Linked DNA regions of Macaca fascicularis. The protein of the gene in region 1 interacts with the protein of each later gene in a pairwise test. Links are inferred from orthologs where the notes say so. Each region holds a gene or a part of one and is shown in the gene's direction. Other genes may lie near its edges.

Region 1 (4,109 bases):
AGGTAAAGCTGGAGGATACTTGATTTTGTTTTGAGTTTTTGTTTTTTTGAGACTGGGTCTTGCTCTGTCTCCCAGCCTGGAGTGCAGTGGTGCCATCACAACTCACTGCAGCCTTGATCTCTCGGGCTCAAGTGATCCTCCCACCTCAGCCTCCCAAGTAGCTGGGACTACAGGCGCACACCACCATGCCCAGCTAAGTTTTGTATTTTTTGTAGAGACGGGGTTTCACCATGTTGCCCAGGGATGGTCTAGAACTCCTGGACTAAGGGATCCACCCACCTCAATCTCCCAAAGTGCTGGGATTACAGGCACTTTGCCACAGTGAGTCACTGTGCCTGGCTGAAGATCCTGGATTTTGAAGGCCCCTGAATGACAGTGAATGTGATGCTATAGGCCACTGGGCTTCCTTGAAGAGTTCTGGGTAAGGATGCAGTGTGGTAAGCTTTATATTTCAGACAGTTTATGAAGTTGTGTGGAGGACAGATTGGGGGAATAGGAGCATGAAAGCCAGGGACAAAGCTGGGCAACCATTGAAATGTCTATAATACATTTTGTTTCCTAAGTACAAACATAGAGGTGACCATGTGTCCTGGCTGGCTGGAGACAATCCTAAATTATGGCTTTGGTCCCAGAGTAATTATATTAAGAGCCACTTTCATGCTCAAACATGTCTCAGTCTGAAGATTAAATATCATCTACATATACACAGCAACAAAACTTCCACAATTCTTACCTTCACTGTGTGAAAGGCACTGACATTTTTTTCTCTTTTTTATTTTTATTTTTTATTATTTTTGAGACACAGTCTCACTCTGTTGCCCAGGCTGGAGTGCAGTGGCGCGATCTCAGCTCACTGCAACCTCTGCCTCCTGGGTTCAAGTGATTCTCAAGTAGCCTCTCAAGTAGCTAGGATTACAGGCATACGTTACTATGCCCAGCTAATTTCTGTATTTTTAGTACAGACGGGGTTTCACCATGTTGGCCAGGCTGGTCTCGAACTCCTGACCTCAAGTGATCCGCCTGCCTCAGCCTCCCAAAGTGCTGGGATTGTAGGCGTGAGCCACTTCGTCTGGCTTTTTTTTTTCAAATGTTGGTTGCAACCTATTAAATTGATTTCGTGACACACTAAATAGTTCATAACCCTCAGTTTAAACAACTCTGACCTACACGCCTGCCAAGTCTTAGGAAAACAGGAAGGAGACAGCTAATTAAGTTTGGGTGATGCATAGTCTAAGGCATTGGTTCTCAACATTGGCAGTGCAAGATCACGTGAGGTACGACTGAACACGGAGATCTCCAAAACTGCGGAGAGTTGTGCGTGTGCACGTATGCACAGACATCTACATGGAAATGGCTGTAACGCATCCAGCCATAAGGCGTACAAGGGTATGTATACTTACAGAGTTAAGAACCACTATTCTCAGGAGTTATATGACAGCCTGAGAAGACGCCCAGGATGTAGGAACAGGGAGCAAGCGAGCGTTTGGCACCTTGAGGGTGCTCCGCGCGTCTGGTAAAGCCAACGAGCCCCTCCTCTTCGCTGGCCTCTCCGGGGCCTTGCTGACCAGTGGTCGAAGCCACAGGACCGGGTGCGGGTGGCCAGCGTAACCGGGGCAGCCCCGCGGCTTCCCCTCGGCCGCGCCAGGACGCTCTGCACGCGGCGACGACGGCCCCACAGTTCCCCGCGCGCGCAAGCGCAGGCGGCGGCTCCCGGCGTGCAGCTCGGTGGCGGCTGACCCGGCAGCGGGCCGCCTCAGGCAGCCCTGGCCGGGCCGCCCGGGTCCCCGGCAGCGGGGTAGGATGGCGCTAAAGCGGATCCAGAAGGTACGCACTTTCCCACCCTCCGACTCTTTGGGTGTCCGAAGCGTCGAGGTGTGGGCGGGGCGCCGCTGCCGTGAAGTGAAAGGTGACAAAGGCTCCGCAAGTCGCGGATACACCTGCCTAGGAAGGTGGCCGAACAGCCACCCGCGCAGCCTGAAAAGCTAACGCAGCCTGAGAAGGGGATTGCGCGAGCGCGGGGCGGGGCCGGGCCGTGACCACGTGGGCTGCGTCACGCTGGCGGGGCGCCGTGGGGCCACCTGCAGGCTCCTGGACAGCGGGTTGCTGGGTCCCCGGAGTAAGGCAAGCTTGCTCCTCTAGGGTATCCAGAAGGGCTGGATGGGTATCCAGAAGGGTATCCAGAAGGGTATCCAGGATGAAGCTGGGTCCTAAGCGATGAGTAGGAACTCGGCAGGTGGGGAAGAGGGAAAAAGGCTTTCCCGGCAATGGGGAGACCACGAGGCCTGGAGGACTGACAGGATAGGGGAGAAGCTGAAGGGCAGATGGTGTGGACTCGGGTGGTCCTTAGGGGCAGTGCTGAAATAACTGATTTTTATCCTGTAGGTAAGAGGGAGTCCATGAAGGTTTAATGCATTCACTAGGATTTGGAAAATGCACAACAGTAGAAGAAAGAAGTATTTCTAATCCTATCACTTTACTATTTGTTAACATTTTAGCATACCTATGTTCAGTTTTTTCTATATTTAAAACAATTATCCTGCATTTTGTATTCCACTTATTCACATAATAGTAAATGTAAGCATGTTGTGAAGTAGTATTTATAACTTTTTTTTTTTTTTTGAGACAGTCTTGCTCTGTCGCCCAGGCTGGAGTACAGTGGCACAATCATGGCTCACTGCAGCCTCAACCGTCCGGGTTCAAGTGATCCTCCCTCCTAAGCTTCCTGGGTAGCGGGGACTACATGCCACCATGCCCAGCCAATTGTTTATTTTTTGTAGAGACAGTGTCTCACTATGTTGCCCAGGCTGGTCTCATACTCCTGGGCTTAAGCGATCCTCTTGCCTCTACCTCCTAAAGTGGTGGGATTACAACGTGAGACACCATGTCCAGTTCTGTAACTAATTTTTAACATTAACTTTCCACAAGTACATGACTAGTGACTTATTTAGTCATTACCTGTAGTAGGTAAAACTGTAGTAGGTAAAAGTATGAACTTGGGTGTCAGACCTGGGTTAGAGAATGTGAGGTCACTTATAGTGGGACCTTGGGTAAGGCACTTAATCATTCCTAGCCTCCCAGTCCTACATGTTTACAGAGTTGTTTCGAGAATTAAATGCTATGAAATGTGTTTAGCACATGCTTGCTGTATACCAAGCACTCAATATGAGTTAGCTGCTGTTGTTCAAAATTCTTCACTATTTGCTGTTATGAACTTTGTATTAGGCTGTTTTGTTTGCTATAAAGGAATATCTGAGGCTGAGTAATTAATAAAGAAAAGAGGTTTATTTGGCTCTCAGTTCTGCAGGCTGTACAAGAAGCATAGTGCCAGCATCTGCTTCTAGTGAGGCCTCAGGAAGCTTACAATCATGGCGGAAAGCAAAGGAGAAGCAGGCGTGTCACCTGGTAAGAAAGGGAGCGAGAGAGATGCCAGCTCTTTTAAACACCCAGATCTCGCATGAACTAATAGAGTGAGCACTCACAGATTATTGTTGGGGGGCTACCAAGCCATTCATGAGGAATCTGCCCCCATGACCCAGACACCTCCCACCAGGCCCCGCCTCCAACACTGGCGATCACATTTCAGCATGAGATTTGGAGGGGACAAATATCCAAACCAGATCAACCATCATTGTACAGTGAGCCTTTTCCTTAATTCACATTACTGGGTTTGATTGCCAGAGGTGGAATAACAGGATCTCTGAGAGTATGACTCTTCTTTTTAAATAGCTGTCCAAAAGAGAGATAATTTTGATGAGTTATTCTCTGAAAGGGGTCATCTGTCATCCTAGGGCTTTGAAGCAGGTGAATGACGTGCTGAGATCTGTGTTATAAAAAGATCCTTCTGGCGGCAGTGTGGCCTAAAGTGGGACAGAGGGAGACTAGAGGCTGTTGTGAAGATTCAGCAGAGGCTTTGCCCAAATTAATGACCATGGAATGGATGCTAGGCCAAAGCAGTGCCTGGACCACATTACAGAAGTGGAATTGACAGGACTTGAGGAGAGGATGTGGTGAAAGTGAAACAAGGAGGTGTACAAAATGGGTCACAAAGCAGTGCCTGGACCACATCACAGAAGTGGAATTGACAGGACTTGAGGAGAGGACGTGGTGAA
Region 2 (2,347 bases), on another chromosome or scaffold:
ATCCTGTAGCTTTGAAAGTTAATTATCTTGATCATTTATATATTATATTGCCCAGAGTGCTAATTTAATCTGTGTCTTTTATAGAAGAGAAAGATGCTTAGTAACTTCAAAACATTATTGAATTATTACATATATAATTTACCATGTGCAATTATCATAAAATTAATTTTTGCTTTTTGTTTTCTTGCCAATAATAGACGTCTTCCATGTATGCACCTTTTCCACCAAGTGTGTGTTGACCAATGGTTGATCACCAATAAGAAGTGCCCCATATGCAGAGTGGACATTGAGGCCCAGCTCCCAAGTGAAAGTTGACACCATGTTTCAGAACTCTTGCCCTCCCTCTCATTCCCATCCTTCCTGGTACTGCAGTCAACCAAAGATGGCATGACTTACCTGCGCAGATTTGGAAGCATTGAACTTAGAGTGCTGGCTCTGCTATATGGTACAACTAATGCTAGACCTACAGTTTATGTATACAGTTGATTTTCATGTATTTATAAAAGCTTTTTTTTCTAGATTTGACATTTTTCTGTATCATTTTACTGTATTTTTGCATGGTTCCTTGTATTGCATTTCTTTGCACATATTATGGGCTTGTGACCCTAAACTTGCAGGCAAGATTAGCTGCTTTAGTAAGTAGAATTTTGTGGTCTTTTTGTTTTTTACATAGTACCAAGCCTAGATAATTATGAATTTTTTATCCATTACTAATCTTTAATTTAATCAATCATGTACTTTAGTTTAATGTATAAAGATCCTCTAGAAAATGATAATATTGTGTATTAAGACATTCCTTAATTAGGACAAAATGGCTGCTGTATATTTACTATATGGAGTTCTGAGTTAAATACCATCCTTAATACTGGGAACAGAATACAACCCATATTAAATCAGATGCAGGTGGTAGTCACATCACCAGAGTGATCAGTATAAATTTTCTTGGTGTATCCTTTTCCTTTCAACACAGTGCAGATAAGAGTTGAATATTGATATCATACATTTAGACTGCTGTTCTGATTGCATTTATCTTTTTCCTACATCATTTAGAATTTTATTTCCCTGATTCAGTTTTTGCTGCTGTGAAACAGCTCTGATGAACACTAAATATTAATTTCAGTTAGCTAGATTGTACATACTTGCAGATTTAACAAAATTTTAGGGAAATTGAAAAAGACATGTAGAATTTGTTGTCTTCTGCTAAGCACGAAAAGTTAAGATATCTGCTTACAGTGATTTTGTAGACACATTAAGGCAAGATTTGGAATTTAAGTCATTGGCAGGTATCTGTGCATTCATAGAACTTCTAAAGGTCCCAGGATCACTTTTAAGGGATTTTTATTAGTTTAAAGATAAATAAAGTCAGCTGAATCTACATGTCTCTTGTTTTATTTCTCTCTAAACTTGAAAACAGTAAATCTGCAGATACTGTGAGGCACAAATTATACTGTCAACCTACTGTTGCTATGGTTATATACTCCCACTTCATACATTACCAAGAGTCGATCACTGATTTAAAATTTTTAATTTCTATAGTTAAGATTTACTGCATAATATAGAATATAAAGTTAAGTTAACATACTAACATTTCTCCTTTGGAGGAAGTTTTAATCTACTTCAGGATGCATATTATTATCAAGATACTTTCATATACAGGATAGCCTAATTTTATTTGTTTAAATATGCTTAATATGCCCCAGATTGCAAATGCATCCAGTCAGTAATATCACTGTCTGTATGTGGAGGACATGTTCCCATGGATCATATGTGAAGATGTCAATAAGCTTGCATTAAGCCACCTGCTTTGTAAGTGGATTGATTAATAAATAACTTATATTTCTATTGTCTTTGTGTTTCATAATTAGTTTTTATAAAAACAGTTTACATTAAACATCTTGGAATTCAAAAATAGTGATCTCACTCAAATTGACATTTGCATAATTTGACATTTATGTTCGTTCAGTTATGACTACTTGCCCTTTTCTTCATATTAGTAAATGTTACACTGTCATAGTTGTCGTTGTTAACATGCTTCAACATAGTATGTGTGTAGATGGACGATGGATTTAAAGAGCATACCTTACGATTAAACTGAGGTTATAGAAGGTCAGGGGAGAGTGAAGGACTGAGTGACCTATGGCTGCCATCTTACTGGGGAAAAGAGCAAGTAGCCTGTCTTCCTTTAAGTAAGTAGCCTGTAATGGATGTAGTACTTTGCCACTGGAATACCCCGGGTCTGTGCCAAGGGATTGAAGAAGTGTAAGATGGGAGAACTGTATGTCATGGAGTCCTCTTGATGTTCCCCCGAATACAAGTAAAGCACAGGTGGATTTCTCTATTTTTTGAA
Region 3 (2,630 bases), on another chromosome or scaffold:
TGTGAGGTTGCTTGGTTTACATATGCTTTCCATACTGCTTTGTAGATCTTGACTCACTGTTGCAACCTCTACCTCCTGAGTTCAAGTGATTCTCCTGCCTCAGCCTCCTGAGTAGCTGGGATTACAGGCACCCACCACCACACCCAACTGATTTTTGTATTTTTAGTAGAGACAGGGTTTCACTGTGTTGACCAGGCTGGTCTCGAACTCCTGATCTCAAGTGATACACCAGCCTCGGCCTCCCGAAGTGCTGGGATTATAGATGTGAACCATCGTACCCAGCTGAGATGTTCTTGAACCTGAGTCTAATTAAGTCGTAGAGTAGCACTGTCCAATACAGTCACACTAGTCACATGAGCACTTAAAGTGTGCTTAGTGCCAAGGAAGAACTTAATGTTTTACTTTATTTTTAATCAAGTTAAATATAAACTTATGTGACTAGAGACCACTATATTGTATAGTGCCACTCTAGAAGCTAGCGCTAAGTTTCATTGACTGGAGTTGCAGGGAATAGAGGAGAACAAGTTTAATGATAGCACAGAAAGTATACACACAAGTCCAGGTTGTGGGCGTTCTGTAAGACAGCTGATCCGGCTTCCACAAGAAGTCAATGGCAGAAGAAAAAAGGTGGGATCACAGGCATGAGCCATGACGCCCGGCCCATCCTTTTGTTTTTTTTTTTTTAAACAGATGCGTACTTTTTTTTTTTTTTTCTTGAGACAGTCTCGCTCTGTTACCCAGGCTGGAATGCGGTGGCGCAGTCTCGGCTCACTGCCACCTCTGCCTCCCAGGTTCAAGCAATTATTGTGCCTCAGCTTCCTAAGTAGCTGGGTGCACACCACCATACCCGGCTAATTTTTGTATTTTTAGTAGAGACGGGGTTTTGCCATGTTTCCCAGGCTGGTCTCAAACTCCTGGGCTCAAGCAGTCTTCTCACCTCAGCCTCACAAACTGCTAGGATTACAAGCATGAGCCACCGTGCCTGGTCATACTTTTTTTTTTTTTTTTTTTTTTTTTGAGACAGGGTCTCGCTCTGTTGCCCAGGCTGGAGTGCAGAGGCGCAATCTTGGCTTACTGCAACCTCCACCTCCTGGGTTCAAGTGATTCTTGTTCTTCAGCCTCCCAAGTAGCTGGAACTATGGGTGTGTGCCACCATGCCTGGCTGACTCTACTTTTTAATACTTTAAAATATTTTTCTTTTTTAGGAGACAGTATCTTGCTTAGTCTAGACTGGAGGGCAGTAGTGTGATCATGGCTCACTGTAGCCTCAAACTCCTCAGCTTAAGCAATCCTCTTTTACCCTTTCTTGAGTAGCTGAGACTGCAGGCATGCATCACCACACCTGGCTAATTTTTTAATTTCTTGTAGAGATGAGAATCTTGTTATATTGCCCCAGCTGGTCTCTATCTCCTATCCTTAAGCTGTCGTCCCATCTCAGACTCCCAAAGTGTTGGAATTACAGGTGTGAGACACCATGCCTGGCCAACGCGGTGGCTCACTCCTGTAATCCCAGCACTTTGGGAGGCCAGGGTTGATGGATCACGTGAGGTCAGGAGTTCAAGACCAGCCTGGCCAACATGGTGAAACCCCATCTGTACTAAAACAGAAGAAAATTAGCGGGGTGTGGTGGCAGGCACTGTAGTCCCAGCTACTTGAGAGGCTGAGGCAGGAGAATCGCTTGAACCCAGGAGGCAGATGTTGCAGTGAGCCAAGGAGTGCCACAGCACTCCAGCCTGGGCGACAAGAGCGAGACTCTGTCTCAAGAAAAAAAAAGGTGAGTTCCATGAGGGCAAAGACAGGGACTTTATTTTTAATTTACCTTTCTGTCCGTAGAAGAGCCTGACACATAGATTGAATGAATGGAAGCTGGGCTTTATTTTCAGATCCACTTACAGGTAGACTAATTGCTGATTACAGTAGGTGAGGCTGTATCTGAACCATGTCAGGTGTGCTGGCTTTGAGCAACTTTGTGAAGGTTAGGGATGGCCTGCTTTGCTCTCCAGGTAGTGTTCTCTCTGCAGCCTTTTAGACTTGTTTGATGATGAAGAAAGGAAGTCCCTTCGTGTACTGACTGGGTCCTGAACCTTCCCTCTGCTTGCGTTCTTTAGCTGTGGGATGCTGCCAGTGGCTCGTTGCTCCAGGACCTACAGACCAATCAGCCTGTCTTGGACATCTGCCCATTTGAGGTGAACCATAACAGCTACTTGGCTACCTTAACAGAGAAGATGGTCCACATCTATAAGTGGGAGTGACCGTGGTCTTGAAACCTTGAAGGCCTGCTGCTGGTTAAATGTTGTTTGCTAGCACCTAGCAGTCCCAAGCAAGATCCCTGTTTATTGTCTGCGGCCTAGAACATTGGGGATCATGGTTTGTTTGCATTAATATGATTCTAGGACTTTGGGTCACTGAGACACTACAGATTGTGTATCTGTTATGTCCACTAAAAGAGTAATTGATGGGTACTTTATCTACATTATCCATTTCTTGGGTTTAAAGCCTTCATTTACCGTTATTGTATGTTGGAAATTCTTATTTTCTTTATTTTCTATGTGACTTTCTGGACCTTAGAGAGTGTCCTCTCATCATCTAGGATGTAAGTAGGCATCAAGCATTTTCTGGGGGATATGACA
Region 4 (3,500 bases), on another chromosome or scaffold:
GGGGAGGTGCACAGATACTCTGCGGGTGGGAGGAGGGTGGGGCCCCTGCTGCTCACCGGAGGGTTCCACAGAGGGTGTCACAGGTCAGAAAAAAGAAATGCCTTCATTTATCACTTATATCAAACTGATTGCTTGTTTCTCTTTTGTTTTTCTCCTTCTTTTTACAAGATTGTTGATGGTAAGTGGTTTCATTTCCTTTTTCACTGGGTTTGGAGCAAAAACTGCCTTAGGTGAGAGCTGCGGTGCGACAGGCCTTGGCAGACCTTCCCCAAGGGCTTGGAGCTCTCCAAGCAGGAAGATCCCTTCACACATACTGTGGTCAGACCCGCACAGGCAGTCCACTTGTGCCTGCTGAAGAAACTTCACCCCTATCACTGACACTGAGCTGTCGTCCTTTCTTGTGGCCTACCAGATTTTGGGAAAGGCTGGTAGCTCACAGCAGGGGTTGGGGCATTTCTCCTGAGAAGATAAGATAGTGGCCTCCAGAGCTGGGCAGAACCTTCTGGGTTATAGCTGAGCATGGCAGCAGTTTCTTTCTGGGGGTCCCAGGCAGGGAAGGAAGAGGGTCTTAAGAGGCATCAGGATGGGGGTGGTGAGGATGGTAAGAGTAGGGAGCCTCCAACCTGAAAATGTGACCTACCTTAGAAAGAAGAAGACCAAGGAGGAATGCTAGGAGGCTGCCCCAGGACCATGCTGACAGCTGCGTGGTGAGCAGTGACGACGAGGAGTTGTCCAGGGACAGAGACGTGTATGTGACTACCCACACTCCCAGAAACACCAGGGATGAGGGCGCTACAGGCCTCAGGTACCAACATGCCCCCAGCTCTGCTGCTGCCGTGCTAGGGGGTGGGACCAGGGCATAGGAATGCTTTTCAGCAAACCTGAGGGCTTGGCCCTGGCAGGGCTTGACCAAGCCTCTCCCCAGCATCTGGATACAGTTGGAACCTGGCCCAGAACTGAGCCCAGCTGTTTCCACTGTAACCAGAGTATGCTGAGCGCTGACAGAGTGGGCGCAGGCAGTCCCGGTGGCTCCAGACAGGGATCCTGGGGCCAGTAGGGACGTGGGGGAGGGCAGGGTGACTCAGGTTGTCTGCACCTTCTGATGTTCACCCTGCCACATGCCCTTGGGGCAGTTGGCTTTTCTGAAAGTCTCTTGGATGCCTGTGCTAAGGCAGAGTCAGAGGAGGCCGGGGTGGTTCTCTTGTAGGGGATGCAGGCCACTTACATGAAGGCCACTTATGGGGTATAATAAAATATTTGCATTGACTGAAAAACTAATGTGAAGCACTGTGCTCTTAGGCCCTCGGGTACCGTCAGTTGTCCTATCTGCATGGATGGATACTCTGAGGTAAGTAAACCAGGCTGTATCTTCCTTGCTTCTGGTTTCTAAACTTCATTGAAAGAACTGGATGAGACAGGATCTTCTCCCTTGGTGGGACTGGACAGCCCTACTCGCAGTCATGCCTGGGCATCACTTGCTGCAGATCTGCTTGTGAGTGGAGAATGTGCCAGTTTCTCCTTGGACCCTACAACTTTCACCTTCAGCGCCTGTATCCCTGTATGCCTTGAGCTTCCGGGTGTAAATGCGTCCTCCTTTTGTGTCCCCCATCCTGACTCTTCTGGAAGCGGCTAGTGTTTACTGGCGTCCCTCATAACCTTGGGCTGTCACACTGTTGAGATGCCATGGCCCCTGCCTCCTCCTCTCCAGCTTAGAGCGATCGCAGCAGGCACAGTTAGCTCTCCAGACCCCTCCCTGTTGCAGCCTGGCTCTTGTTTTCCTTCAATTGGTCATCTTAGGCATAGATGGGTGGGATTCTCTGGGGACCATGGCTGCTCTGGGATAAGGACAAACTCAGAGGCTCTTTTTAATCCCTTCTAGATTGTGCAGAATGGACGTCTCATCGTTTCCACAGAGTGTGGCCATGTCTTCTGTAGCCAGTGCCTCCGCGATTCCCTGAAGAATGCTAATACTTGCCCAACTTGTAGGAAAAAGATCAACCACAAACGGTACCACCCCATTTATATATGAAGTATTCAGAGTCGCCCAGGAGACACGGATGGACAGACAGACAGACAGGTTCTCCAGTGGTATCTGCCTCCATTTTCCTGAGCTCAAAAAGACTGTTTCAGAACCAACGTCTGATATGTAAACTGCTCTTTTGTTTCCAACCCCTTCTTTTTGTTATCTCCAGTTTGATGCTATGGCGCTGGACCCAGGGCCCTCCCAGGCCATCTCTGTTCGTCTGGGGTGGTCCAGTTCTAGAGTGGGAGAAAGGGAGTCAGGCACATTGGGAATCGTGGTTCTAGTCTGGTTGCAGAACCTGCACATTTGCCAAGAAATTTTCCTTGTTTGGAAAGTTTGCCCCAGCTTTCCCAGGCACACCACCTTTTGTTCCAAGTGTCTGCCGGTCGACCAATCTGCCTGCCACACATTGACCAAGCCAGACCCAGTTCACCCAGCTCGAAGATCCCAGGTGCAAGAGTGGCCCCTTGAGGCCCTGGAAAGACCAATCACTGGACTTCTTCCCTTGAGAGTCAGAGGTCACCCGTGATTCTGCCTGCACCTTACCATTGATCTGCAGTGATTTCTGCAAATCAGGAGAAACTGCAGGGCAATCCCGTTTCCTAAGAACAAAAAAGTGCAATAAAGGCCATTCATTACCTACTTTTCGGCACCCCACAAGATGTAGCACTATTAGCGTCCCCCTCAGAGGCCTAATGTTGCCTGGGGAGCAGTGCCCATCCCAGCCCGTTTCTGCCCGCCAGTTGTTCTCAGGAACCTTACCCATGCTCCAGCGTCCTTCACCTGGCACAGGACATGCAAGATAAATAGGGCAGGCACGTGTTTGGGTGTCCTCTCTTTTCTGATAAAATCCATCCTGTATTTGCCACACGCCCTCCAGTCCTCAGTTCCTCGGTTTCCACTGCCTAACGTCTGCCCCCGCGTAGATACTGAGAGGTGGTGGCAGTAATTGTGGCCTTATCAGCCGCTCAGTTCCAGGCTTTTGCCCAAGTCACTGTTGCCCCATGTTTCGGAGAACCTGGCCCACCTGACTTGGCTTTCTCATCCTTCCCAACCCAGTGCCATTTGTTTCAGAAGCTACTCCTCTGGCCAGCTGGGCTTGGATCCTTTGGGCTTTGACTGCTCCATAGGTTTTGATGGGTGAAACACGGGCCCAGATGACAACCTCTCCCTCACTCCACAGGTATGTGGGAGCCTCAGGTTCTCTGAAGGGCAGCAGAGTGGCCCACGCTGCCTCTGACAGCACAGGGCCTGGGGGTGGCTAACAAGAGAGGCCTTACAGTGCCAGCCTGCCTCCTCTTCCGCTGTCCTCCTTCCTCAGAGGGCTTCAAGCCAAACAAACGGCCTTTTCGTGTGAAACATCTTCAGAGTGGGAAAGGGGCCACTTCTGGCTTTGTTAGCAATAACTGACCTTCAGTTTACCCTTCTGAAGGAGCAGGGACTCAGCACAGAATTCACTTTAGACGGGGCTGAAGGA
Region 5 (4,142 bases), on another chromosome or scaffold:
GGAAAAAAAATTAAGAGGAAATAATAGAGTTCAAGTGGTTTACCTCTTACTACATGGTGTGCTAGAGACTAATAATAATAATATTTGTTGTTTACTAAGAGCCAGGCACTGTACTAACTGATTTAATGTGACAACATACTTAATCTCAAATGCCATCAATCAGTTGCTGTTCTTATCCCCATTCTAGAGATGAGGAAATTGAGACATAGAGAAGTTAAGTAATTTGTCCATAATTCTAGGGTTAGAAAGCGGTGGAGATGGAACTTATACCCAAATAATACAACTTCAGAGCTTATACTCCATAAGAAGTATGAGAGAGTCAATGCCTTAGGAATATAAACTGGTATACATACATCCCTTCTAGACCCATTTTCCACTGGAGTTGGGGGTACCAAATCCCACCCAAAAGGTATCCCTCTTTGTACAATACCTGAGCACTGTATTTTCTTCGACCCTTGTACACCCTCCCAAAAGAGCCTTCTCCAATCATCTCCAACACGTGGTACTTTTCCATGACAGAGGTTTCAGAATCTCTTAGAAGGAAAAAGGTAGAGACGGTGAAGAGCTATAGATCCAGGGACAATTCCACAACATCTGGGAGGCCTAGTTGGGGCATGGGAAAGGAAAAATGTTAGCCACCTTGCCTTTTCTCTTTTTCACAAAGACCAAGCCTCAAAAAACATGGGAGGGTAGAATGACGCAAAGGTGATGCGATCTTGGAACAAACACAGCATCTCTTTGTAGTTCCTCTCCACTTTCAGCCTCCTGTCCCCAACCCGGCCCCATGCCCACCTGACACCTGGTCCCCCTTCTCCCTCACCCAGCTTGGCCCACTCGACCCTGCTCTCTTAACCTAGCATCGCCCACCCAACCCTGCTCCTTCGAGTCTCCCCCAAGTTCCTGCCACTCCCAGATTCCTCAGCACCTGCTCTCAGACCCCCTGGCCCATGCGCTTCGCAAGCCAGGGTCCCTCTCTCATCCCCAGCCTAGGAGATCCAAGCTCCTCAGGCCCAGGGACGGATTCCCTGGCCTTTAGCCCCATATCTTCTGGCTGCCTGCATACGTTGCCTGACTTACAATTCTTCTCCACCCGCCCCTCGCGCCAGTCTGTTTTGGCTCCCTTTCTAACAATTTCACTCGCTAGAACTGGTGAGAAGTTCAGAGGACAAAGGCGCTCAGAGGTGTGGGAGGGACGGCGGACCACACATGGGCACTTCCTGGGACGCATCCGAACTGCCTCTGGGCCGTCAGGCCCGGCTAAGGACCCGGAGTCTGCGGTTGCCTAGAAACGACGCTAGCTGCCCACCCCTCTTAGTTTTCCGCCTCCGACTTCCCTAAGGGCATTTCCGGTTCCGGCTGCGGGCCGGTGAAGACATGGCGGCGTCTGCGTCTGCAGCTGCAGGGGAGGAGGACTGGTAACTTCGGGGGCATGGGCTTTGGCTGACAGTCTGGATCTAGTCCAGAGGCCTAGCAGCTGTCGCAGACGGTCCGTACGGCGGGCGTGTGGGGTGGAGCGAAGGATGAGGGATGGCAGAGATGCTGACATCTCCTCTGGGAGATCTTCTAGACTGGGGAACGGGAGGGTGGAGGGGCGCTGATCTGAGTGAGAAGAGACCGGGTCTGCGCCCGCCAGACCAGTTCAGGCCTCGCCTTATCCGGTTCGATCCCCTTTCCTCCAGCTTCACGCTATCCCTTTCTATGCTCCTCAAATGAATTTTCTCAGGGGCTTTGGGGGATGCCTGCCCGTCAGACCTCCCCATCTCCCTTTCGCCTCTCAGAACTAGTGCCCTCCGGTTCGGTACCCCTTTCTCCTTGGATCAGCGTTTTTCCGCCGACGCTTTCCTCAACCTTCTCTCTCCCACACAGCACTAGTGAGGACTATTGTCTGAATAAAGCTTTACACCTCACATAAAGTCCCTCTAGTCCTTCTCTCAAGCATTCTTAACTAAAGACTAGAACATGGAAGGACTCTGGGATTTGGAAGTAGGATCAATGTGGGTTAACTCCGCATTTTATTAGCTGTGTGATGCTGACCAGGCCATCTAGCTTCTGTGAGTCAGTGTCCTCAGCTGTAAAAACAAAGTGGGTGTGGTATTTACCTCAGAATAGTTGAGAGGATCACGATGGATTTGTAATATACTTAAGTCTGTTTTTTTGTTTTGTTTTGTTTTGTTTTGTTTTTTGAGACAGAGTCTCACTGTCGCCCACGCTGGAGTGCGGTGGTGCGATTATGGCTCACTGCAGCCTCAACCTCCCCAGGCTCAGGTGATCCTCTTGCCTCAGCCTTCCAAGTAGCTGAGGCTACAGGTCTGTGCCACCATGCCCAGCTAATTTTGTATTTTTTGTAGAGACAGAGTTTTGCCATGTTGGCCAGGCTGGTCTTGAACCCCTGGGTTCAAGTGATCCTCCCACCTCAGCCTCCCAAGGTGCTGGAATTACAGGCGTGAGCCACCACACCCGGCCTCCTTTTCATTAATAACTGAGGTGCAGGCACCTGGGAAGATTAGATGAGCCCCAAAGAAGTAAAGTGATTTGCCAAAAGGTGGAAAATTGCGACTAGAAATCCACATCTATCTGACTCCACACCTTAGATTCTTTATACTAGGACATTCTTCAATCCCCTCTCCCCCATTTTGTTGTCACCACCTTACCAGCATCCCATCCAGGACCCACATAACTAGGGTAGGCAAAGTATTGAAGGGCCACTTGACTGAGGCTACACCTCAGTGTTACATTGGTTCAGGGAGCCCTGCTAGTACTGGCCTTTATTAAGACTATCTAGACTACTGGTTTTCAAAGTGTTCAGGGAAACTTTTTCTTTTCTTTTTTTAAGAGACGGAGTCTTACTTTGTCACCCAGGCTGGAGTACAGTGGCAAGATCATGGCTCATTACAGACTCAACCTCCTGGGCTCCAGCGATTCTTCTGCCTCAGCCTCCCAAGTAGCTGGGACCACTGTGTCCAGCTAATTTTTTATTTTCTGTAGAGATAGTCTCGCTTTGTTGCCCAGGCTGGTCTCGAACTCCTGGCCTCAAGTGATCCTCCCACCTCAGCCTCCCAAAGTGCTGGGATAACTTATAGTTGACCTGTTCAGGGGAACTTTTAAGATTCAGGGGAGACACCTTGAGCCATGGAGAGAACAACAGTGAGTGCAGCAGCCTGTAGTGCTGTGAGACTCCCATCCCATGTCAGCCAAAACTACACTATTTTCTGTGAGGTGTAAAGCTTTGTATTTTATATTTTGAAGTTTCTGCCTAAGACTTAACAACAACTGACATAAGTCATGCTGGAGCAGCCTTACTCTTAGAATGAAGAGAGAGCAGTATGAGAAAGGAAAGTATGCATTTTTCCATGTATCACCTGGTAGAGCTGTAGACACAAACTGATCACTCAGCTTCAATTTCAATACAACTACTGTTTCTATGCTTAAGCATGTGTGTCCTCTGATTTACATCGGAACATGGATGCTAACCTCAACAGGCTGATGTAGATCAACCAGACAGCCAGGGTCATAAATACATCCAGAGTACTCTACTACCTCCCTCCTTCCCTCTTCCTTCTAAGGGAGAAGGTTATATACAGACGGGAAGAAAAAGAGGATGTAGACTAGCTACTATAGCCCAGATACTATTAGGTACTTTATATAAACAAATCACCTTTTATCCTCATAGTAACCCTAGAGAGTAGGTGTTATCATCTATATGTGATAGACAGGATAACTTAAGCTTACAGAGAGGTCACTTCCCAGATCGCATAGCTTGTAAGTGATTGGTACCTGTTACTAACTCCGAGGCTGCTGGCTTTTCCATTACAACACAGCCTTTACACCACCCTAGACCTGTTGTGTTGAGGTTGCTATCTCCTTTAAGAAGGCTTAGGGTGACTGGTGTTAAAAGTGTATGTAGACGGTAGCCAAGGCACTGGGATCCACACTGGACATTGATGTAGGGAAAGGCTGGAGTAATATTGGTAACGTTAATGCTAGTAAATGGGTGCCATACCTCTAGACCAGAAAGTCAGCCACTAAGGGGAATGAAACTTAAACAGGGAGTCAGGAAACCCGACTCTGGGCCCAGTTCTACCTATGTTAAGCCTTGGTTAGTCATTTTATTTTTCTGGAATCCACTTCTTCATCTCTTGGCA
Region 6 (4,119 bases), on another chromosome or scaffold:
ATCATCACCTCAATTTTACATTTTCATCACTTTGAAAACAAACCTGTCCCAGCCAGTGACTCACGCCTGTAATCCCTGCACTTTCCGAAGCCGCGGTGGGAGGATCACTTGGGCTCAGGAGCCACAGACAGGTCTGGACAATATAGCAAGACGCTGTCTCTACCAAAAATTAAGGATTAGCCACGTGTGGTGGCATATGCCTATAATCCCATCTACTGGAGAGACTGAAGCAGGAAGATTTCTTGAGCCCAGAAGGTGGAGGATGCAGTGAGCCATGCTCCTGCCACTGTACGTACTCCAGCCTGGGCCACAGACCCTGTCTCTTAAAAGAAACCTGTGCCCTTTATCACCCCCTACCTTCCCTCTTCCTCCCATCCCTAAGCAACCATTAATCAACTTTCTGGGTCTGTATATGTACTTGCCTATTGTGGACATTTCATATCAATGGAATCACACAACACGTGGACCTTTGTGGCTGTCTTCTTTGACTTAGCACGTGTTTAAGGTTCATCCCTATTGTAGCATGTATCAGTAGTTCATTTTTATGACCGAATAGTACATTGTATGGATATATCACATTTATCTACTCATCACTTGATGGACATTAGCGTTGTTTCCATCTTTTGGTTGTTAGAATGGTATCAACATTTGTGTACAAGTTTTGTGTGGAGGTATGTTTCCACTTTTCTTAGAGGACTGGAATTACTGGGTCAAATGGTCACTCTTGTTTGACTTTAAGGAAAGGGCAGATTATTTTCCAAGACAGCCGCACCATTTGACATTCTCACTTCTGGTGTATGAGGGAACACATTTTTATTTCCCGCTAAATCAGGTTCATTTTTTAGTTTCTGCTGGAGGCTACTAGTAAACAGCAGAAACTTGAAAGACTGTTAATATTTTTTCTTCTGGGGTTTTGGGCACCAGGGAAGCTGCTCGGCCCCTAGGAGTGCTTGGGGGTAACTAGCTTCAGAGGGTTAATGGTGGGGGTTAAGTGGGCAGCGGCCTGGTGGCCAGGGTCCCCCGCGCCCTGAGGCCCGGCCCGCCCGTCAGCGCCTGCGGGCCCGAGTGACGCCCGCGCCGCGGCCGGAGCAGGTGCCCTCTGTGTCCGTGGGCCCAGCCGAGCCGTGGTGCGGGCAGCGGATGATGCTGGGTGCCGGCCCCCGGGGCCTGAGGCCTGGGCCTACGCCCGCTAGGCGGCGGCGCGACCGCTGGGGGCGGGGGACGAAGGCCGCGCCCCTGCGCCCGTCCCGCCCGCGTCCCGCTGGGGGCGGTGGCCTGCCCGGAGCCCGCCGAGGCTCTTCCGCGCCGGCAGGGGCAGCAGCGGGAGCAGCGCGGGGCGGAGCGGCGCCAGCAGCCAGGAGCGGCCCGGCCCGGCCCGGCGTGGCGGCGGCGGCGGCGGCGGCAGCGGCAGCGGCAGCGGCAGCGACAGCGACGCCAGAGCCCGTGGGCGCCGTTCGCGAGACCGCGGCAGGGGCCCGGCCGCAGCGCGGGGAGGCCCGGAGACCGGAGGTCGCCGCTGCCGCCATGCCGCTGCTCTTCCTCGAGCGCTTCCCCTGGCCCAGCCTCCGCACCTACACGGGCCTCAGCGGCCTGGCCCTGCTGGGCACCATAATCAGCGCCTACCGCGCGCTCAGCCAGCCTGAGGTCGGCCCGGGCGAGCCGGACCAGCTAACGGCCTCGCTGCAACCCGAGCCGCCGGCGCCCGCCCGGCCGAGCGCGGGGGGACCACGGGCCCGCGACGTGGCCCAGTACCTGCTCTCAGATAGCCTCTTCGTGTGGGTGAGCGAGGCGACCGGGCCCGCGGGGCAGGGACGGGGTCCGCTGCGTCACCCTTTATCCGCGGGGGGCGTGGTGGGCCAAGGGGCCCCTGCGCCAGGGACCCCGGAGGGCAAGCGCCTGGGGGGCGCGGCCTTGCCTGCGGGAGCGCTGCCTAGGTAGAGTGGTGAGGCGCTGGGGGGCAGCGGGGGGGAACCGCGGGCGGGAGGAACATCATGTGGAGTTGCGAGGAGGAGGCCCCGAGGGGCAGGGCAGCGTTGGGGGCTCCGGGAAGGGAGTCGGGGAGGCGGCGGGCGAGGGTCTGCGTTGGGGTGCGGACGGGGCCCAGGGCAGGGGAAGGGGTTAAAGGGCAGTGGGGAGGAAGGGGCTGGGGACCCTCGGGAGAAACTAGACTAAGATCTCAGAGGGCAGGTTCAAGGGGAGGTCGGGATCTGGGAGTGCGTTATCCCTAGGGTTGGACAAAGTAGAGGGAAGTTGAAAGCTTTTCCCACTTGGTCAAGCATGGGATTGTTGTTAGCGGGTTTTCTTCCGACGAAAAGGAGAGGGCAGAGGGGAGAATTCAGACGTTGAGTATGGGGGAATTTTCAGCACTTGGATGTCTTTGGACATTCCAGTTGGAGAGAGGCGTCTCCTACAACTTTTTTGCCGGTTAGTATTCGATTGTCCCCTTTGGGAGCTGTTTAATGAAACAAACACCAGGCAAACTGTGCTTCCTTTTCTGCTGCCTTTACCTGATGATTCATGACAGTTTTCCTTTGATGTATGAACACAGCAAAACATTCGCAGTGTCAAGAGGCAGCCCATCATGTTAACTGAATGTTTCTTATTTGAGGATCTATTCTAACGCAGTTTCCAGGTTGTCTGCCCCCGCGAGATAAGCAGCATTGATAAGGCACACATGCTGGTTTCCTTCATTAGAATAGATAATTTCAGACTGAGCAGATCAATGATATTTTGGCTACAGAATTTTGCTTTCACCTTGGCCTTGAATACTTACGTAAATCCCACAGTGATCAGAAAAGTTTCTCCAGGATTTAAAGTCTCACTTGGATTTAATATGGCTTCTTGTATTTTGTCTCCTTCCAAGTTCCCATTTGGGGTTGAAAGTAGGCTGTAAATGACTGAGAGATTAATATTCCAAGTTGACAGGATGATATGCAACTCATTTGTTATAATTAGTCCCACTGTGCTTCATCAGGAAGCGGTGGGATTTATGGACTCTGTGGGCTGTGGATTAAGTCTCCTGGTCCTTCTGATGGAGAGTTCAGTAGAAGGCAGTGAAGGGTGAAGTTCCTGTTTGTCTACTGCTGTGTAAAACTGAACTTTACAGACCCAAAGAAGGGAGAAGAGAAAGAACTCACCCACATCTCTTGCTTAATTTCAAATCTGATTTTGCATTTGAGTTAGCAGGTAAACAACTTAAAGTGATATAGAGAGTGTTTTTGCCATATGTTAAGATTATAATGTAGTCTTTGATATTTTTTAAGTCTGAGATATAAATAAGCCTTTGAGAAGGAACCCTTATTTTATTTATATAACAACCTTGGCATTATTTAATGGATTTTCCCCCGCAGGACTTTCTTTTGATAAAAGCCATGTTCAGATTCTAAGGTTAATACCTCTTCAGAAAACATTACATAAAAGGCTGTTGATTTTTCTGTGATGATGATTACTTTTTAGGAAATTTCCTTTTCTTCCAGCATTTTCAGTAGAGGTCTTACCTCTGGCAAGTTTATCACTTCTTACTCTCTGCTGATGATATTTTCATTTCTCAGTTGATCCTAGTGCTGTTTTTCCTCCATCTTTCCTCTGGGTGTTTATTTCCACGTGTTTATTTTGGCCTGCTTTGGTTTCTCAGAGCCTCCATGTGCTCACTGTGAGTTTGTCTCATCACTCAGTGTTTATGTAGTTTCTGCTTTAGCAGCTGAGTAGAAGTGACAATCTCAAAAGCCTTCCCCAGTGGTGGGACAGATAAGATTGTTGAGTGAATACCCTATGTGGTGGTGCCTTTGTCAACTGGATCCTCCCCTAGTTCTGTTGAATTCGGATTCAACTTTTTCACAAACACTGCCTGCCAAGGCCAAGTAAGACAAAACAAAGACTGATCCTTCTGCCAGTGCAAGTCCTGCTAGATATTGTTTAACATATTGCAGTTCCTAAAACTTATCTTTGTGGAGCACAGTTTAGAATAATATCGGTCTGATAGCATCACAGGAGGTTTTTCATGAACAAACTCAATTTAAAACCTTTTGAAGGTGTTATTTTGGGCACTCTGGAGGGCATATCTGTGAACAACACTTTCCCCTACCCTCAGTAATATGGCACAATTTTACAGGTGATAAT

The links.
Region 2: the proteins of UBE2D4 (region 1) and RNF111 interact in a two-hybrid assay, tested with the Homo sapiens proteins (2 studies listed by BioGRID and IntAct). The link is inferred for Macaca fascicularis from reciprocal best matches to the Homo sapiens genes UBE2D4 and RNF111.
Region 3: the proteins of UBE2D4 (region 1) and RFWD3 interact in a two-hybrid assay, tested with the Homo sapiens proteins (2 studies listed by BioGRID and IntAct). The link is inferred for Macaca fascicularis from reciprocal best matches to the Homo sapiens genes UBE2D4 and RFWD3.
Region 4: the proteins of UBE2D4 (region 1) and RNF4 interact in a two-hybrid assay, tested with the Homo sapiens proteins (2 studies listed by BioGRID and IntAct). The link is inferred for Macaca fascicularis from reciprocal best matches to the Homo sapiens genes UBE2D4 and RNF4.
Region 5: the proteins of UBE2D4 (region 1) and RNF25 interact in binary tests that used the Homo sapiens proteins (3 or more experiments, as listed by UniProt). The link is inferred for Macaca fascicularis from reciprocal best matches to the Homo sapiens genes UBE2D4 and RNF25.
Region 6: the proteins of UBE2D4 (region 1) and AMFR interact in a two-hybrid assay, tested with the Homo sapiens proteins (2 studies listed by BioGRID and IntAct). The link is inferred for Macaca fascicularis from reciprocal best matches to the Homo sapiens genes UBE2D4 and AMFR.

Annotation. Positions count from the first base shown.
Region 1 is NC_088377.1:86,333,873-86,337,981, reverse strand, and holds the start of UBE2D4 (ubiquitin-conjugating enzyme E2 D4), read left to right. Parts: upstream 1-1,309; 5' UTR 1,310-1,344; coding exon 1,345-1,386; intron 1,387-1,400; exon of another isoform or gene 1,401-1,800; coding exon of another isoform or gene 1,801-1,824; exon of another isoform or gene 1,825-1,994; intron 1,995-2,032; exon of another isoform or gene 2,033-2,233; intron 2,234-3,296; exon of another isoform or gene 3,297-3,402; intron 3,403-4,109. UniProt on the Homo sapiens protein: Accepts ubiquitin from the E1 complex and catalyzes its covalent attachment to other proteins. In vitro able to promote polyubiquitination using all 7 ubiquitin Lys residues, but may prefer 'Lys-11' and 'Lys-48'-linked polyubiquitination.
Region 2 is NC_088381.1:35,570,969-35,573,315, forward strand, and holds the end of RNF111 (E3 ubiquitin-protein ligase Arkadia), read left to right. Parts: intron 1-197; coding exon 198-315; 3' UTR 316-1,847; downstream 1,848-2,347. UniProt on the Homo sapiens protein: E3 ubiquitin-protein ligase. Required for mesoderm patterning during embryonic development. Acts as an enhancer of the transcriptional responses of the SMAD2/SMAD3 effectors, which are activated downstream of BMP.
Region 3 is NC_088394.1:70,432,284-70,434,913, reverse strand, and holds part of RFWD3 (E3 ubiquitin-protein ligase RFWD3), read left to right. Parts: intron 1-2,108; coding exon 2,109-2,252; 3' UTR 2,253-2,630. UniProt on the Homo sapiens protein: E3 ubiquitin-protein ligase required for the repair of DNA interstrand cross-links (ICL) in response to DNA damage. Plays a key role in RPA-mediated DNA damage signaling and repair.
Region 4 is NC_088379.1:2,673,889-2,677,388, forward strand, and holds part of RNF4 (E3 ubiquitin-protein ligase RNF4), read left to right. Parts: intron 1-168; coding exon 169-178; intron 179-645; coding exon 646-805; intron 806-1,299; coding exon 1,300-1,348; intron 1,349-1,879; coding exon 1,880-2,029; 3' UTR 2,030-3,500. UniProt on the Homo sapiens protein: E3 ubiquitin-protein ligase which binds polysumoylated chains covalently attached to proteins and mediates 'Lys-6'-, 'Lys-11'-, 'Lys-48'- and 'Lys-63'-linked polyubiquitination of those substrates and their subsequent targeting to the proteasome for degradation.
Region 5 is NC_088386.1:114,599,312-114,603,453, reverse strand, and holds the start of RNF25 (E3 ubiquitin-protein ligase RNF25), read left to right. Parts: upstream 1-1,342; 5' UTR 1,343-1,374; coding exon 1,375-1,415; intron 1,416-4,142. Other genes in the region: STK36 (serine/threonine-protein kinase 36), read right to left, coding at 431-514. UniProt on the Homo sapiens protein: E3 ubiquitin-protein ligase that plays a key role in the RNF14-RNF25 translation quality control pathway, a pathway that takes place when a ribosome has stalled during translation, and which promotes ubiquitination and degradation of translation factors on stalled ribosomes.
Region 6 is NC_088394.1:52,484,932-52,489,050, reverse strand, and holds the start of AMFR (E3 ubiquitin-protein ligase AMFR), read left to right. Parts: upstream 1-1,319; 5' UTR 1,320-1,524; coding exon 1,525-1,779; intron 1,780-4,119. UniProt on the Homo sapiens protein: E3 ubiquitin-protein ligase that mediates the polyubiquitination of lysine and cysteine residues on target proteins, such as CD3D, CYP3A4, CFTR, INSIG1, SOAT2/ACAT2 and APOB for proteasomal degradation.